Linked DNA regions of Arabidopsis thaliana. The protein of the gene in region 2 interacts with the protein of the main gene of each other region in a pairwise test. Each region holds a gene or a part of one and is shown on either strand. Other genes may lie near its edges. The genes, in order: VAMP721 and AT2G23830.

Evidence for each region.
Region 1: the proteins of AT2G23830 (region 2) and VAMP721 interact in a two-hybrid assay, tested with the Arabidopsis thaliana proteins (one study listed by BioGRID).

What each region holds. Positions count from the first base shown.
Region 1 is NC_003070.9:1,330,966-1,335,619, forward strand, and holds VAMP721 (vesicle-associated membrane protein 721), read right to left. Parts: upstream 2,687-4,654; 5' UTR 2,462-2,686; coding exon 2,272-2,461; exon of another isoform or gene 1,766-2,271; coding exon 1,624-1,765; intron 1,545-1,623; coding exon 1,424-1,544; intron 1,235-1,423; coding exon 1,172-1,234; intron 1,036-1,171; coding exon 892-1,035; 3' UTR 501-891; downstream 1-500. Other genes in the region: CTF18 (P-loop containing nucleoside triphosphate hydrolases superfamily protein), read right to left, coding at 1-121; VAMP726 (vesicle-associated membrane protein 726), read left to right, coding at 3,795-3,984, 4,367-4,508, 4,598-4,654. UniProt on the Arabidopsis thaliana protein: Involved in the targeting and/or fusion of transport vesicles to their target membrane.
Region 2 is NC_003071.7:10,141,389-10,145,412, reverse strand, and holds AT2G23830 (PapD-like superfamily protein), read right to left. Parts: upstream 1,946-4,024; 5' UTR 1,768-1,945; coding exon 1,716-1,767; intron 1,590-1,715; coding exon 1,519-1,589; intron 1,433-1,518; coding exon 1,351-1,432; intron 1,245-1,350; coding exon 1,129-1,244; intron 1,031-1,128; coding exon 902-1,030; 3' UTR 699-901; downstream 1-698. Other genes in the region: AT2G23820 (Metal-dependent phosphohydrolase), read right to left, coding at 2,741-2,811, 2,896-2,937, 3,030-3,146, 3,259-3,369, 3,450-3,487, 3,572-3,696. UniProt on the Arabidopsis thaliana protein: May play a role in vesicle trafficking.

The DNA.
Region 1 (4,654 bases), on a different chromosome or scaffold from region 2:
CGTCGATTGGGTAAGGATATGGCGGCTCCTCAAAGTTTAGGTACTCATCTTCTTCTTCGTAGAAATGAGAATTGGCTTCTAGAAGCTCAAGCTCCTCCGGCAATGGGATATCGAATTCCATTCTCTGATATGATTGACCGTATCGGAATTTTGTTGGGATTTGGTGCTCGGTGAACAAAAGTGAAAATCGGAATCTGGTGTGAGCTTGAGCGGGAATGAGAGTGTTTTAGCGGGAAAGTTTTGGTTGCAGGATCTCAAATTAGGTTTTACGGCCCATTAAATATTCGGCCCACTTAACTAAAATAGCCCAAATATTTATACCATTGTGACTACAGATTGTTGTTTCTTGACAAGATGCTTCTGTATGTACTACTAAACTCTGTATTGGTTGCTCCTACTGATAGCAGAGTAAACACGTATGTTTGAACTCATAAACGACCCGATGGCCGACAAGATCTACTCAAGCGTTGCGGGAGGAGTTTGAACAAAACAACCTTGGTGGTCGGAATATGACGTACGTATATATATGTACTACCATCCCTAGTAACGATATAGAGAGGGCACTACTCTTATCTAAATTTAAAGTAACCAGCACACATCACGCCGTATAATCGTCAATACAATCTCAAATTTTTATCATCACCACCACAATGCAATCTTCAGTCAACAAAATCATTTAATAGTTTCGGATCTCTTGTCAAGTACTGACTGGTTCGCAAGGGATCAATGTCATCAGATGCAAGCAATATAGCAAATGAGTAGCATACATATATGTCTATCTATACAAAACCAATTCAAGCAGAAACATTAGATTGAAGATCGAACAATAAAAGAGAAGGCACTACGATGTACCGAGTGAGAAAGATCTCAGAAGTTTTGAATTTTCTGGGCTTAACACTTAAACCCATGGCAAACTGAGAGCACGATGATGAGAATCAGTGCGATAATGATGGCGAGCACTATGAGTTTTATCTTCATGTTCTGAAGCCACATCTTTCTTCTCATCTGCGTTCCTGTTGTTCTGAAATCTTGTGCCTGTGGCAGTTTGAGTTCAGTTAGACACAAGATATGGTAATAGGATGAGTCAGCTATGAACTCAAAAAGCATGTTCATCTTTGTGTGTGAGTGTAGGCAAATAGATGCAGGAGATAAGGGTATGAGAGAGTCTAACCTGTGAGCGAAGATTTTCGGTTTTGTCCACCAAAAGCTCAATTTTCTCACCACGGTCAAGAACCTGCAAATAATGAGTCGCATATGTAAGCGGTGTTACATTGGTAAACTGGACATTTCCCGTAAGATGTAATGCATTGAATTATTAGTAATTGATTTCACAGTAACTTAGTATGACTAGATGAGCTCTTTCAGATGGGTCAACCATAGATGTAAATATATACATTGAGGACAGAAAGGGTCAGATTCAAACCTTCTCAATGTTTTCCATCATTACACCCTTAACTTCTGACACTTGCGCCTTCACCTTAGCAAGCTTGCTAATCTCATCAGGATGATCCATGCAATACTGCATATGCTCTTTCAGTTTAGAGCTTCAAAGTTACCAAAAAGAGTCAGTCCACGAATATAAAAGAGAAGATCATCCAAATAGAAGAGATAATGAAAAAGTACCCAAACTCCTTATTCAAGCTGTTTGCTTGAGCAGTTGCAGCCTTTCCACCACCATATCGCTTGTTAAAATCTTCTTTTACTCTTTCCAAAAAGGACATGGGAATTTGCCTCCCAGCAGAATCAACCGCAACAACACAATAGGCTGTACAACAGGAACAAAATCAATCTCCTTGTCTTCCCTTACGGGATAATCAGGTGACATTGATTTAATATGAAATTGATATGGCTACAACAACTAAAGGATAGTCACAAAAGCTTACAATAAGACCCCAGATTTTCATTGAAAAATGAAGCCAGCCAAAACCCATGACCTAGGAAACTATACGCAAATAAAGCAACCAGTAAAAACCCTGTCTCAGATCAATGTTGGTGTTCTTCCACATAGTATCAACCAAAGCTACCACGGATTCTGTCCAAATCTGAGTGATTATACAGGTAAGACTCTACAGAGATTTATTGCGTTTAATAAATATAGATCTAACCCTAAAAGCTTGGTTCATGCGGTTCCTCAGTGAAATCAGACTACTCAGGATGCACAAATCCATACGAATCGATAGGTTAGGCAAATAAACCTAGAAACAAATCGAGGTAAGCACCGAATGGTGTAAGATTAAAACCTATGCATAGATCAAACGAAAAGTGACTTACTGAATCCATCTTCGACAAGGTAATTGAAGGTATGACCGTCGCAGTTGTAGGTGAACTTGTTGTTCGAAGACGGAAGCTTCTGGAGGCACTGAGCAGCGATTGAGGTGAAATTACCTTTGAAATCAGTGAACTCAACGAGGATCACCGTGCCGCGAGCTACGAAACTGTAGATCAACGATTGTTGCGCCATTTTTTCTTTACCTTAAATCTCCGATCCAATCGACCGTCTGATCAGAGAATTTTTTGGGCGGTCGCGGAAAAAAACTACAGATCTAGAAGACTATGAAAGAACAAAACGAGGACTAAAGTGGACATGGGAGAAGAAAAAGTTGAAAAGCGGGCAAGGGTAAAGTTGTCATTTAAGGTAGTCAGATTGGGTCAAAAATAGTATAAAACCTTGAATTTAAGGACTAAAAAAAAACAATTTCAAAACGGAGAGATCAAACAAATGTCGAGAAAGTTGGACCCGCCCGGATCCAGCCAAAAAGCTCGTGGACTCTGCCGATGGCACAAATTAGTAATTACCAACTTTAGGACAAGTTCAGGTCCCATGGTCGAAGAGAGTCTGTCTCTGTCTTCCTCAAAATATCTTTTTTTCCAAATTCATCATTGATCAGTGATTCCAGTATTAGCTCAGTTACGAACAAAAGGCTTAAACATAAAAACAAATGTTGTAATTAACCAAATTTCTTAATTCTTAATGGACGGGGGGAGCTCATAGTCATAGTATCTTGTTACAGCAACAAAATTCGAACTTCTACCGTTATCTCTTGTCATCTACAATTGCTCTGCATTGTTTAGAACCTGCTAATTAATTTGTTTAACGTGTTCCTAAAGATTTTGATCAACAATCAAATAATTGAAATTTAGGTAGTTAGGTTGTGGTTAGAATAGAAGGTTAGTGAATTGGAATGAAAGAAAAGGTTTGCAACATTATTTTAATTTTTTTGGTAGGAAGGTTTGCAACATTATCAATTGAACGTTCTTTTAAGTAACATAACATATAATTTATAGAAAATTTAACAACTCAAATATCCCTTACACATCGCAATTTTCTTTATAAAAAATCAATATATAATATATATATATATATATATATTTGTTTTTTAAAATGCTCATTGATAAACATTTCACATTTGAATTGAAAAACGAGCCACCGTGGTGTAAAAACATGAAGATACTATTATTAATTAGACGTGAATTATTTACCAAAATAAAGTTTATTAAGGCAATTTTCGACTATACAAATGATGAATTTTTCTTTTTATTTACTTTTTATATTTAAAAATTCAAAATTTGAACGTTACCAAAGGGAAAATAATGTCTCTGTTACTCGCGCAAATCCAGCGCTCTCATATAGTTTCTCTTCTCCGATCTCTGCGTCCTGCTTTCTCCATCGCTACCCCTCGTTCCCTTGTGTATTTTTACATCGCTTACTAATCTCTCTCATCAATTCGATCGGATTTTTGTGGTGTTCTTAGGTTTCGTTTTTTTATCTTTCTCTCATCTGGATAAAAGGAAGAATGGGACAACAATCGTTGATCTACAGCTTCGTCGCTCGCGGTACGGTGATCCTCGCCGAGTATACCGAGTTCAAGGGCAATTTCACCTCCGTCGCCGCTCAGTGTCTCCAGAAACTTCCGTCCTCGAACAACAAATTTACCTACAATTGCGACGGTCACACTTTCAATTATCTCGCTGATAATGGCTTCAGTAAGTCTCTATCTCCCGATCTGTGTCGATTTTGCTCTGTATTTCTCTGTTTATGCCTTGGTTCATCTGTTTTCTTATGAATGCTTAGTTTCGAAATCAAATGTTCGAGAACAGTGTAGCTTTGAATTTCGTAGGATATTCGTTGCTCTCGATTCTTGTGGCATTGTGTTATATTCAGATTTTCTTCTAATCAATGCCATGTCTTGATTGGATATGCAATCTGTTGTTTTCGTTCTGATTTTAATCAGCTTTATGCATGGCTTCTTTGGAATGTTTATTGTGAAGATTTTTATGTTTGGAAAGCTTTGGTTGTCCAATGCACGAATTTGCTTTAGTTGGAATGTGACAATAAGATTTCTCATTTCCCTCTGTTGTTATGCAGCCTATTGTGTTGTTGTTATTGAATCTGCTGGGAGGCAGATACCAATGGCTTTCTTGGAGAGAGTCAAGGAGGATTTCAACAAGAGATACGGTGGTGGAAAAGCTTCCACTGCTAAAGCCAACAGCTTGAACAAAGAATTCGGGTACTTTTAACATTTTTAGTCAGAGCATTTCTTTTCAATTCCATCTTTGTGGATGTGTGTTTTAAATGGTTTTGTTGTAATGAATGTAGGTCTAAATTGAAGGAGCACATGCAGTACTGTGCGGATCATCCTGAGGAGATTAGCAA
Region 2 (4,024 bases):
CGGAACCGAATATCCGAACCGAAAAACCCGAAAAATAACCAAACCGAATCTGAATCCGATTTTTAGAATAACCTGAATGGGTCCTCGACTTCACTACCCGAAAAAACTCGAACCGAACCCGAACCGAATCTAATACCCGTGGGTACCCGAATACAAATGTAACCTAAATATATTAGTTATATATATATTTGTAATACCTCAAACACCCAAAATTAAAATTATAAATCCGATTATACTAGATTCTTTTAGTAATTCATATACATTTGGATATATTTGGGATAAAAGTAACAAATGTTATAGTTTTCTTTTAGGTAATTTAAGTATTTTGTTTACATTTGGTTATATTTGTATAAAAAGTAACAAATATATTTACGGGCAATCGGGTATTTCGGGTAGATTTGGGTATATATGAGTAAAAAACCCGAATCCAACCCGAACCCAAAAATATTTTGGGTATTTTTGGTTATTTTTACATTTTTACTAAAATAACCGAACCGACCCGAAACCGAACCGAAACCGAACTGAATTTTTAGAATACCCGAATGGTTCTCAACCTCTTACCCGAATAGACCCGATACCCGGAAAAAAAGAACCGAACCCGAACGGGTACCCGAATGCCCACGCCTATCTAAGATATGTGTTATTTTATTTGAATTTCAAAGGTTTGAGCTATAAGGATATGATTATATAGATGGTCAGTGATGTTTAGATTTTAGTGCATTATATACAAAGTAAACTGGGTCTCATAATTATTTTACAAACAAATTACTGTACAGAATCAATCGAGTTTTACCAGCCGCTATTACGAGCTCGTGGCAAGCAGCTCCAAACGCCATAGCAAGAGACATCGCTAAGAGTGTTACTGGTGATGAATATCGTCAATGAAGTAAAGAGAAAATGTCTAACAAAAACACTGAAATATAAACCCTCTTCTAGTCCTTGGTGAACTAGTGATGTTGGTCGTGGTGGAGCAAACATAAGTAACTCTCAGTTTAGTCTCCTCAACTACATGCCCTGATTCTTTGCTAAACTGCAAAGTTGCTCATCAGAAAAAAACGAAACAAATGCTTTAAGGAACCAAAAGCCAAAGTGTGAATTATTCATCAAATCAACAATGTGAATCAGTACCATCTCACGAGTAACTTCTTTGGCTGTGACTCCAGGACTAGCCAGTACACTTTGAATCATAAACTTTTCAAAGCTCTGCATATCAGAAGGAACTTCCTTTTGAGCTTGCATGGTCACTAGACAAACAACAAATAAAGATTCATCAAATTCCTAGTCCAAGAACAAGTTTGGCAGTTGAAGGGGGAAAAAAAGTTTCCCCAAGAAAACGATTAGAGAACGGACCAAGAACTTTACAAGTCGACTTTGGAAGAATAAGTCCATAATTAGGCCTAACGCAATAGTTGTTCCGATTTGTCGTCTTAACCTCAAATAAAATAAAGAGAATCACGAGAAACCTTAGAAACACGAGATAATCACGACAATTTAATGACTCGGAAAACTTTGTTTTACCTTAAAGGCCACGTTATTGTCTGTCTTGTTCGTCAAGTAAAGAGAGCAAGACATCTGCTTCTTCAATTCAACTACATCAACTCAGCCAAGTGAATAGCGAAATTTAATAGTAAACCATAACTCAACAAAATCTGGTTATGGACAAGAAAGACATGCAAAATCAGGGAAAACAAGAAAAAGTCAAAAAAAAAACTTACAAGGGAATTGAAGATACATAGGCTCGATTTCGAGAAGCTCGTTGTTACTCATCTTGAGAAGATCGCCGGAGATTCAAACTTTTCCGATCGAGAGAGGGAGAGGGAGAGAGATCGAATGAAGAGAGTCGGAAAAATCGTTATTTGTCTTGTTACGACAAGGGTAAAAATTGTCTGTTCAACTAAAACTGAAACATTCTTTGAAAAGTTCCATGTTGAATAATCAGCTAAACCATTTGTTACGACTACTACTATTATATTATTATAAGTTTTGCAAATTAAAACCTCTACCAATTTCCCTTCTCCTTCCGAGTCCACTAAGTAGCTTCTCGCGCAAGAATCATTTTTAAAAAAATATAATAATTTAATTGTAGACTTGTGGTTAATAACATGAACATCGGAAAAAATCAAAATCTTAAAGGTTAAGATAAAAGAAGCTCAAAATCGACAAAAGAACTATGCGGATAAGCGTCGGAGAGAGTTTGGAGTTTTCGGTTGGAGATATGGTTTATTCTAAAATATGTTTTTAAAAAGAAAAGACATAACTACTAATGTTAATTTTGTGAAACCCAATGGTAAAAGGTTTAAAGACTTTTAGACTAGAGAGAAATCTAATCTAAGTGAGGTTAGTAGGAGATCTAAGTGTGGCAGGGAAACTACACTTTATGAAGTGTCTATACTCTATTCGTTATTCTTATTCAACTTTTAACCCGTGCAAAATCTTGAAACAAAACAAAACAAAGAAAAATCATTTGACCTCTATTAACGATCCGAAAATTTATATTGAGGAACCAATGATACTTTCTTAAAATAAAATTTAAGAGCTTGATTAAGTTTTTTGATCTTCATTAGCTATCTATAAGATAGTCACTAGCTAGCTATCTTTTATTAGTGATAGTAACAAAACAAGTAAAGACAGCTACGAAGATTATTAGAAAAACCTTAAGATGATTAAATTTGAAACGTACGAGTATTTGAACTCCACTGAGCTAGACGTTAAGAAACAAAAAGAAAGAGTCAAGTGAGAACTAATGTTGCTTTCGTCTTCTTGAAACAATCTCCGACGCCCAAGCCTTGCCTATATTAGTCTGGAACTTCCCTGAATCAAACAGTAACAAGCTTAAAGCCTTCAACCATATTCAGATTATCTATTTAGAGTATAATGACATACAACAAAAATTACCTGCTGTTGATTGGAAAAACTCTTCTAGATCTTTCCCTTGATCTGCGTTAAATAGCAAACAAAAAACAATATGAGTATTAGTTTCTGCTAAATCTCTTATCGAAAGAGAGTTTCTTTTATTGGTCATTCATTACCTTGTTCATATTCCAAAGCTTGTAGTATCAGCTCAACTTTATCGAAATCTTTAACAACTTTGGCTTCAGGTGAAGAGTTCTCTTCGTATTCTCTCCAAAGCTCAGCGATTTCTTTTGCTGCAATTACGATATATACATTTTTAGAAGTGATGATAAGTGTTATACAAATGAGCATAAGAAGGTCGAACGAAGATACATAAGGTATTTCAACAATAGAAGAGAAACAGACCTCTTTCGCCTCCACCCAAGAGTTTGCACATGTGCTCAAGTGCTTCGCTTTCTCTTCGGTTTTTCTCTTCTTTAGATATCCCACAAGAAGGTGTAATGTCTCCTACAATGGCTGCTCAACAACAACTCGACTAAATAACTCGTGATTAAGAAAATCGATGATTAAAAATCTCTAAAAGTGAAAGAACTAACCTTCTGCAATATCATGAACAATCGCCATTTTCATGCATCTATAGAAAGAAAAGTATGTATATAAGAAGAGTTTTTTCACAGCAGTTGAAACTTGAAAAGAGAGAAGCAAGCAAGAAACTTACTTGTCTCTGTTAACACCGGGGATATCTGAAGAAATTAGAGCCATAAGACCCATCCGATACATGTGATCCGCTATAGATTCTGGATCTTTCACATCTCTCTTAATCCATCCAGCTCTTGGAGTTGTCTATTTGATATAAAAAGATGGTTTACCAAACGATACAGCACACAAACTCTATCGTTAAATCAGCAAACAAAAACTCACTTGATTCACAAAAAAGTAAAACACATGACAAACTTCACATCTTCAAGGATTTAGTAATCACAGACCATTAATCACATAAACTTGAAATCATTTCATTCCCCTAAACGAATTCTACAATCCGTCAACAGATGCAGCCAAGCTTGACAATGTTTCATTTCCGTAACAATCCACTATACATTCCAATACAATCCATTAAGCACGAAACGTTTCAAGCTATCTCCACACAGATCCATCATAACATTGATAACAA